Linked DNA regions of Oryza sativa Japonica Group. The protein of the gene in region 2 interacts with the protein of the main gene of each other region in a pairwise test. Links are inferred from orthologs where the notes say so. Each region holds a gene or a part of one and is shown on either strand. Other genes may lie near its edges.

Region 1 (4,386 bases), on a different chromosome or scaffold from region 2:
TCAAAATCACCCAAGCTTGAAGTATGCATTTCTTGAACGTGCAGCAGTCCTTTTATGCCTTTCAGTTAGATGGCATTCTAACTTCCTTTGTGTTTTCATAGGCAAATTTCTCTAGAGCGGCTGCTGCCCTCAGCAGGGCTCAAGCAAAGAAGGTCAAGCGGTTCCTTCCGAACCCAGAACGTCATTGGGGTCCCAAAATCAGAGCTGGTCGGAAGATTACAAGTAAACATGCTTCTCTGTTAGGTCCAGACGTTGTCAACCGTGTTATCAACGGTGCTGCCAGCACCGAAGATGAAAAGGTGGCCGAGCCAAATAATCCAACGACAGAAACCGGAGGAGATGCAACGAATGAAGAGGATGAACCTTCAACAAAGCGCCAAAAAAACGGCGATGTTGGATTGGCAACCGAACCTTAATTGTCACTGAACCTGAGCACGTTTCGCTTTCACCACTCAATTCTTCCATGTTTGTAATGCTTCACTTTTCTTGAGGGTGTGACTGATGGGTATATCTATCAGCTGTGTTGCTAAACGGTTTTTAGCAATGAATTTTGATCGCGAAAAATCTGTTGTCATATTTTGCGCTTCTGGCCAAGCTTATTCAGTGTGCCTGCTGAGCGAGAAATGGTGAGGAAACGGGTGAAGACTATGGGATGCAATGCAATTGTTTTTTTTTTGTGCGCTTAAATTGGACGGGTTTCATTTTGTATTATTCTTCTGCCTGAACCTTTTTGTAACTTCTGTGGGTGCATTCCTTCCCTGTACCAAAGGCTGAGGCAATGATCGCGAATCCGGCGAATCAGACAGAAAGACGACGAAGACAGGTAGGGTATTTGCGTGTGAATGGATTCTAATCCCTGAACACAACTTAATTTATATCTTTCTCTTCTCTCTTCCAAATTTAATGTAGATAGTTACAAAAAATTCTAAAAGGAATTAACAACATACATAACGGTGTCTATGGGTATAAAAATTAAGTTTAAATTCGATCAGATGTAAACAATAGCTATTAGTCATACCTGAATTTGTCTTTTTTTTTTAACATTTTGATGCGTGAGTTGAGTTTTTTTTTTAACATTTCGATGCGTGAGTTGAGTCTGTACGTGAGATTTTGTGAGGTTGTACAGTAGGCATGTAGTACAAGTGTTGCTAATTTTTTTATAACCGTTTGGATGAATTTTTTGAACAAACGAAAGAAGATCCCGTCAAAGGGATGAAGATTATAGTTCTCCATATCTGACTGCGCGTGGATATCTCGAATTCTCGATCTCGAGTTCTCGACAGAAGGCAGAGGCGGCGAGGGCAAGGCGGCGGCAACAGAATTGGGCTAATGAGAACAAAAGGAAACTGGGCCGCGTGGAACTCCAGGCCCACATTCTCACTCTTAATTTGGGCCGCTACGGCCTCGCAAATCCCACCTAATAAAAAATAAAAAAAAGAAAAAGAAAAAGGAAAAAAAAGAAAAAAAAGAAAAGAAAAGGGGAAACCCTTCCTCCCCCAACCCGATCTCTCTCTCTCTAGTCTCCACTCCCCCACCTCCTCCTCGCCGGCGTGCGGCGGCCTCACCCCCAAAACCCCGGCGCGCCGCCACCTACCACCCATCCTACCCCGGGCCTCGCCGCCGCCGCCGGTGCGGCCGCGCCATGCGCTTCGGCATCTGATTCATGTCTCACCCCCACGCCACCGCCCCCAAGCGCCCCGGCCACTTCTCCTCCTCCTCCGCCGCCGCCTCCTCCCCGACCTCCCCCGCGCAGCCGCACATGAAGAAGGCCAAGTTCCCCGGCTCCTCCTCCTCCTCCTCCTCCGCCGCCGCCCCCGGGGTCACCGAGAAGAACGGGCTCCACGTCGATCCCACGGCCGCCGCCGCCCGGACCGGTGGGCGCACCAACGGCGAGGAGGATGCGGAGATGGTGCTCGCCGACCAGGAGGAGCTCGCCGCTCCGAGCGCATCGGCCCCGGCGGGGGTCGCCGCCAACCTCTTCCGGAAGAAGGCCACACTCCCCCAGCCATCCGCCGCCCGCAAGCCCCTCCGAATCAAAATAGGTCCCTCTCTTTCACTGTAATTGCACGTTTTCCATGTGAGAATACATCATCGAGGGGTTTCGGGGGTAAATTGAGGGGAATTCTATTGTTCCTCTCAGTGTGTTCACTTGCCCGCTTGCGTCGTTAACTTAAATTCCAATAATAGGGAGGGATTGAGGTGGTGTTCGTTAGCCCTTTCGTCAAATGGATCGCTTCGTCACACACTTCTGTTTTCTATTTACTAATTGGCGTGTCTATTTGTAAAGAGGAATTTGGCTAGACACTTGGACTATTTTGGGGGAAATTGATAATTGCTAGGGTAACTAATGATTTCGTCAGCAACAATCCGTCTAGTTTCTCTTGAGATATATATGTATGTTCAATTCCTTGTAATTGCTTGTTTATCTTGGCTTGCTTTGTTGGGCGTGAATATGCATCAAGGATTTCTGCCTTTTTTAATGCAGTTGACAAGTGAGCTTGGGCATAGTTGTATGGTTCTTCTGACTTCCTGCTCCCCATTTGGTCGTATTGCACCATATGAGCTGGCTTCTAGCTAGATTGCTTAAAAGTTGACACTCTTTTGTCTCTTTATTGGGTGTAACTGTCGGTATTTATTGGAAGCTTTGCTTCGCATCTCCAGTATGTGACCTTCTCTAGTCTTCAGGAGAAAGCTGAAAATCCGTTTCTGTGCAATGGATGTTGCAGTGGCTCTAACCTTTAATATCTATTCATTTCTGAGTCATATATAATAATAATCCCTGCACCAGTCACTATTCACTAATCAGTACCCACCATAACTAACTAGTAACCTGTATAAGAAAATTCAGAAGGCCATATGTTCTTTCTTAGATAATAGACCCCTGGGATCTTCTGGATGTATTTTTTGCAACCCTTTGGCGTGATTGGCAAATGAGATTGGGAAATAATATCCACCCATAAAAAATGCAACACTGCATCCTAGCCATCCATTCTAACCACTCCATTTCATTGTAGCCCTTCACTCATTTCCCTTTCCCGATCCCACCTCTCATAACCCATTTGCCGAACAAGAACTAAAGATTTACTCCCACCCCGGAATTCGTCTCTTGTTGCATCCCTTTTCTGTTTTGTTCATTATATCCCATCTGTTTTTCATGTATCAGGTCAGCCAAAATTGCCAACAAACTTTGAGGAGGATACATGGGCTATTTTGAAAGATGCTATTACAGCTATATTTCTAAAACAGAAACTTTCGTGCGATGTTGAAAAACTTTACCAGGTAATTTTTATATTGCTTCTATTCTATTTGATGATCCCACTTTAGTTATTTAGAACTTGTTTTCTTCACTATAGGCTGCAGGTGACCTTTGTCTACACAAGCTAGGCGCAAATCTATACGAACGCATAAAGAAAGAATGTGAAGTACACATATCGGCAAAAATATCAGCATTAGTGGGTCAAAGTCCAGATTTAGTAGTATTTTTGTCTCTGGTGCAAAGAACATGGCAAGATTTTTGCGATCAGATGTTGATTATTCGTGGTATTGCTTTACTTCTTGATGTAAAATATGTCAAGAATGTTGCAAACATTTGTTCAGTGTGGGACATGGGGTTGAAGCTATTCCGCAAGCATCTTTCACTGTCTCCGGAGATTGAACACAAAACTGTTACTGGTCTTCTAAGATTAATTGAGAGTGAGAGGTATGCCTACTCTGCTGTACTGAGCCATGTTGTGTGCATTACCTGTCTTATTGTGTGTGTGTGTGTGTGTTTTTTTTTTGGGGGGGGGGGTGGGGGTGGGCGTAAACATGGAATGATGAAAATTTGTAATGCATGTTCTGATTCACTTGGGAATTGTTCAGAGATCTGGGTTGAATGGTCAACTGTAAAAAGTACCCTTATCAGACTTAGTGCAATGTATTGTATACTCCATTACATATCAAAGAGTAATCAGTTTACTTGAGAAAAGTTTTGTCATTGCATTTACCTTGTGTGATGTAGCTGGCGATCATAGTGTATGTATTGGGTCCATTTTAAATTATTAAAATTGTGGACTTGAAGGGTCAATTTATTTTATATTCTTCTATGTAACTGATTATTCATTAACCATCTCTTCCTTATCAGGCTTGGTGAAGCAATAGACAGGACATTACTTAGTCATCTTCTGAAGATGTTTACTGCTCTTGGAATGTATTCTGAGAGTTTTGAAAAGCCCTTTCTGGAGTGTACATCTGAATTTTATGCTACTGAAGGTGTTAAATATTTGCAGCAGTCTGATATTCCAGACTATCTCAAGCATGTGGAGGTATTGATAAACCTCTTGTATTTCCCCTTGCATTTTGTTCACACAAAATTCAGGTATACTTATGCAATTGGTGGTATTTCAC
Region 2 (4,346 bases):
ATGCACAGGTACATCTTATGTCACAGTCAACCTAAACAAAGTATTGATCTTTTCCCAACATTGTACATCTCAGGGTACACCAAATATATTCATTTACGGAGTTAGTGATCTTGCTTAGCTGCAGATGGAACTCCCTATCTTGCAAACCTCATCGTCCACTCCGCAGCTATTTCATCATGCTTAGTTCTATCAGTCAAGTATAAATGTCCAATGCTCGGCACAAGTGGGCAGTCTGCACGGAAAAAACAATCATAATATGAAGTTATCAAGATGAAATGAAGCAAAAATTATGTGTATATTACATAGTTTAAACAGGACTGCATGTTTTATCATGGAAGATAGTGCAGAAACAGAACAATTGTGATCATACTGTAACTTGGAACTTACATGGATCTGGGTTTGTTATGATGGCTTTAATGGCAAGTAGCACCTTTGAAATAGTTAAAGCAGGACTCCATCCTTCCCTTAAAATGTCCATACTCAAGTTACCAGTGGAGTCAACATTGCAGTGATAAATCCTTGTCTTGAAAGTTACCTAGCACAGTGACAGAACAGTTATAACTTGTAACCACGAATTGAGGTCCCCTAATACCGAAATATCGGATAAAATTACAGCAGTGGATCTCAATTGTTTCATACTTCTATATAAACATTGAAATTGCTGTTCCTTCAATATTGAAATTTTAGCATGTTCAACTGGAAGAGTGTATTACCTTCCATATTATTAATTACTGAAACATCAAATCAAGCCACAATTGCCAGCCCATGTGTATTTCCTCTGTATTATGAGTGTGCTATCCACTCTACAAAAACTTGAGAAATTCACTTACTATTGCCAAATTATATGGAGTGTAGCATTAGCAGAATTAATATGATTGCCATGTTGGACTGTATTGATGTTTGCATGGTTCCATGTGCTGGTTAAGGTAAAAGGTAGACCACTGCAGGGCTGTGTGTTAGGTCAAATCAGTCCTAGCATTGCCCTAGGCTTCCAGCACTGCTATCTAGAGAATGGGGGAGAATTCCAGATGCTCCATCAAATACTGAAGAGCAGAAATGGAGGTTGGTTGTTCGGATCCTTCATATCCTACCTCCCATCAAGGAATTATAAGTTGATGGTAATAGCTGGGCAAAGACAGTAACAGTCTTACTGTCTTAGCAACCAACAAACCATGAAGCAGGTGATCATGTAGGGCTGTGTAGGCTACAGCCAGCAGGTGTATACTGATTAGTCAATGTCAACACTAAATGGACCAAAAATCTGCATTTAGAAGGCTCATTTTTTTACCAGACTACTATGCAAATAGTATATTGACATAGGATGAAGGTGATGCCCAAGCACATTAGGCTTCCAATGGACAAAACCTTTCTCTGTAAAATTTTAACACAGCACTATCAACCAAAACAGGGGATGTCTAGGAAAACAACATTTTAGAAACTCTGCGCAGTTATTTTCTTGAACACTAAGCATAAAACAGACTTCAGATAAGTTTTCTTCATAAATAATCAAGATCATATTGAAAAGAGGTAAATGGTGCTTACCTTAAAAAGAACGCAGGTCGCTTTAATTAATAACAAAATAAACTAGCTTTAACATAATCTCTTTTGTTATCTATGCCCTTCTAATCATCACACTGTTTGCTGAGTTAGCCCTTGAACAGAAGCATTCCTTGTCCCCAAAAAGATTCATGAGATATTCCATTTTAGGATGAATCTTAATCCTTGCAGACAACTCGACACATTTTCAAACCCCTTCCAGGCTAAAATGCATAGATCATACACTTATTTTGAAGAAACTAAAAGAAGTCCGGTGAAGGTAGACTTTTGAAACAAAATACCCTATGCATTTACTAAACATACCAATGTTCATCACTTTTGTAATACCCTGTTCACATAGTGAAGTAGAACTAGCTATACAACAATATTATCCCAACCAATTATCCATCCTATTTGAATTTCTATTCCACTTCTTCAAGATTTTAGACATGCGCATGTCTCTTAAAAACATTTCTTTGGATGCAAGCATTTCCCATGTTACCTTAACCACACTTCCACGCGGTAAATCAATAGTCGTCTATCAATAGTTACTGAAGGGAATGCCATATTTATTCTAGATATTTGTTCCAATAACAGCGATATGATCACTCATGAATCACAGCATTAGGTAGAATGCACACAGACAAGGAGAGAAAATGTCAAGTTACAACTTAAGCTTCTATATGATCTCGTAGAAAGCCAGACACCTCATAACCAACAGCCCATTTAAGCAAACAGAAAAAAAAAAAAGAAGCTAATTCTTAGTTCTTACCATGGGAGGTTTAAACGGATAGTCAATTGGGAATACAATATCGAGGAAAAATATCCCTCCTTCATACGGAGATCCTACAAGATGAGCACTGCATTAGATCAGCAAAGTGAAGGTGGTCATAAGACTAGTTCACTCTACACTCCACACCCTAATTCCAAACTTGAAAAAAAAAAAACCGCGATTTCAACTAGTGAAATTCGCAGAGCCGCAGTAAAATTCGCACGAGCTTTATCGGCTGCTGCTAGCAGGGGGGAGTAAGCGGAGAGGGGGAAGGGCGATGATACCCTGAGGTCCGATGATGGTGGAGAGCCAGTGGTAGAGGTTGTCGCCCTTAGGGCCGGCGGAGCAGTCGGAGGCGTTGAGGTCCATCAGCTCCTTCTGAATCCGCTTCCCCGACGACGACACCGACGTGCCGCCGCTGGAGCCCCAGGGGCGCACGCCGCTCCATCTTCCACCCCCACCTCCGCCGCCGGAGCCCCCTCCTCCTCCTCCTCCGCCCCCGCTGGTGCCGGCGCCGGCGCCGGCGGGGAAAGGGGAGCGAGAGGTCGGGAAGGAGGAGGAAGACGACGACATGGCCTCGACGGCTGGCTTACGACTTGGCCTTGGGGGTGAGGGGGAGCGGCGCCGCCGGCGGTGGTGGGGGGATGGAGAGCGACGCCGGAGTGGGGGGAGAGCGGCGGAGAGGGGAAAGGTTAGAGGGAGTGACGGGACGATGAGGGGAGGTGCGAATTTATTTATTTATTTTTCATAATTGTTGTGATGTTCAGTGTAAAATACTACTCCCTCCATTTCACAACATAAGTCATTCTAGCATTTCTCATATTCATATTGATGTCTGTTTCACAATATAAGTCATTCTAGCATTTCTCACATTCACATTGTGAAACGGAGGTGAAACGGAGGAAGTAATTGCATTTCAATATAAATTACTCTATCCATCTTAAAAACCAAACTAGAGGAGAATTTGCAACATATGTTCAGAAATTTTATGTGGAGTTAAATCGCCACCTACAGTGGTTTTTTTAGACGGGAGTACAAAATATGAAAACTAAAATTTGAGAGAAACTGATTTGAGACGTGCTTTTATTCTGCGTGACAGCCTGATAGCTCCACATATACTCTTATAAATCCATTTTTGCTGTTCCAGTATTGCCAGTAATAATGGGCCAAAAGCGACCAAGTACTCAAATTTTAAACTGACCACACATAAATCCAACCCTGAAAAACCATAAATAAATTTCGGTGCCATGTAACTGTAACATATGGACTGCTTTAGAACGTAGAAATTTTTATGTAGGACTTAATTCTTCATTGTACAAACCAGGCCAGACATTTTTGCATCTGCTACATGAGACCAAAAAAAAAACTTAACAAACATGTAGTACTCAACAAGAGTATAAATTTAGAAGAAAAAAAATATTAGTGAGTCTGAGAGAAAAACACTGTTACTCAACAAGAGTGACAGTTTCAGTACTGAAGCGATATGCAGGGAGCACAAAACACTTTTTGAGTCATACAAACATTTCAGAAAAGAAGGTTTCCACAATTCAATACTCCCAGCCTGGCATTCAAAATTGATGTATTTGACTCCTTTCTCTAGGTCAACGAATTTTGAGAAACACATGCCATCTAACCTCAATACATCTAAGACAAATATGGCCTCCTACACTCCTACTGACAAGATCCACAATAAATTTCGGGCATCTCATCCAAAACGCATCATTTTTTTACAGGGTTTTACATGAACACCATGATAGACAGCAATGTAATTAGGTGAGTCAACCAGCACGAGTGAATTTGTGTAGCAAAATTGTCTGGGCTTACGGGCCCAGACGCCGCACCACCGTTGCTGCCATTGGAGCCAGTGCTGCAAGAAGAACCAACACTGCATCAGGACGTAGAGCCAAAAAAAAAATGTAGAACCGTTAGCACAAAAATATCGAGAAAGGACTCACCTTCCTGCAAAAATGCATGAACCATGGCCTGCATATTTTGATCCAGGGAAATTGTATTAGGCTCATCAAACAGGGAAAATAAG

What was found.
Region 1: the proteins of constitutive photomorphogenesis protein 10 (region 2) and cullin-4 interact in binary tests that used the Arabidopsis thaliana proteins (3 or more experiments, as listed by UniProt). The link is inferred for Oryza sativa Japonica Group from reciprocal best matches to the Arabidopsis thaliana genes FUS9 and CUL4.

What each region holds. Positions count from the first base shown.
Region 1 is NC_089037.1:33,642,159-33,646,544, forward strand, and holds the start of cullin-4, read left to right. Parts: upstream 1-1,503; 5' UTR 1,504-1,663; coding exon 1,664-2,042; intron 2,043-3,163; coding exon 3,164-3,279; intron 3,280-3,353; coding exon 3,354-3,700; intron 3,701-4,123; coding exon 4,124-4,304; intron 4,305-4,386. Other genes in the region: tRNA (guanine(26)-N(2))-dimethyltransferase 1, read left to right, coding at 1-21, 102-416. UniProt on the Arabidopsis thaliana protein: Component of the CUL4-RBX1-CDD (COP10-DDB1a-DET1) E3 ubiquitin-protein ligase complex which mediates the ubiquitination and subsequent proteasomal degradation of target proteins. Participates in the CDD complex to light-mediated control of development.
Region 2 is NC_089041.1:23,577,517-23,581,862, reverse strand, and holds the start of constitutive photomorphogenesis protein 10, read right to left. Parts: upstream 3,003-4,346; 5' UTR 2,882-3,002; coding exon 2,593-2,881; intron 2,383-2,592; coding exon 2,309-2,382; intron 536-2,308; coding exon 388-535; intron 233-387; coding exon 135-232; 3' UTR 1-134. Other genes in the region: glucan endo-1,3-beta-glucosidase 4, read right to left, coding at 4,046-4,175, 4,264-4,291. UniProt on the Arabidopsis thaliana protein: Component of light signal transduction machinery. Involved in repression of photomorphogenesis in darkness by participating in the CDD complex, a complex probably required to regulate the activity of ubiquitin conjugating enzymes (E2s).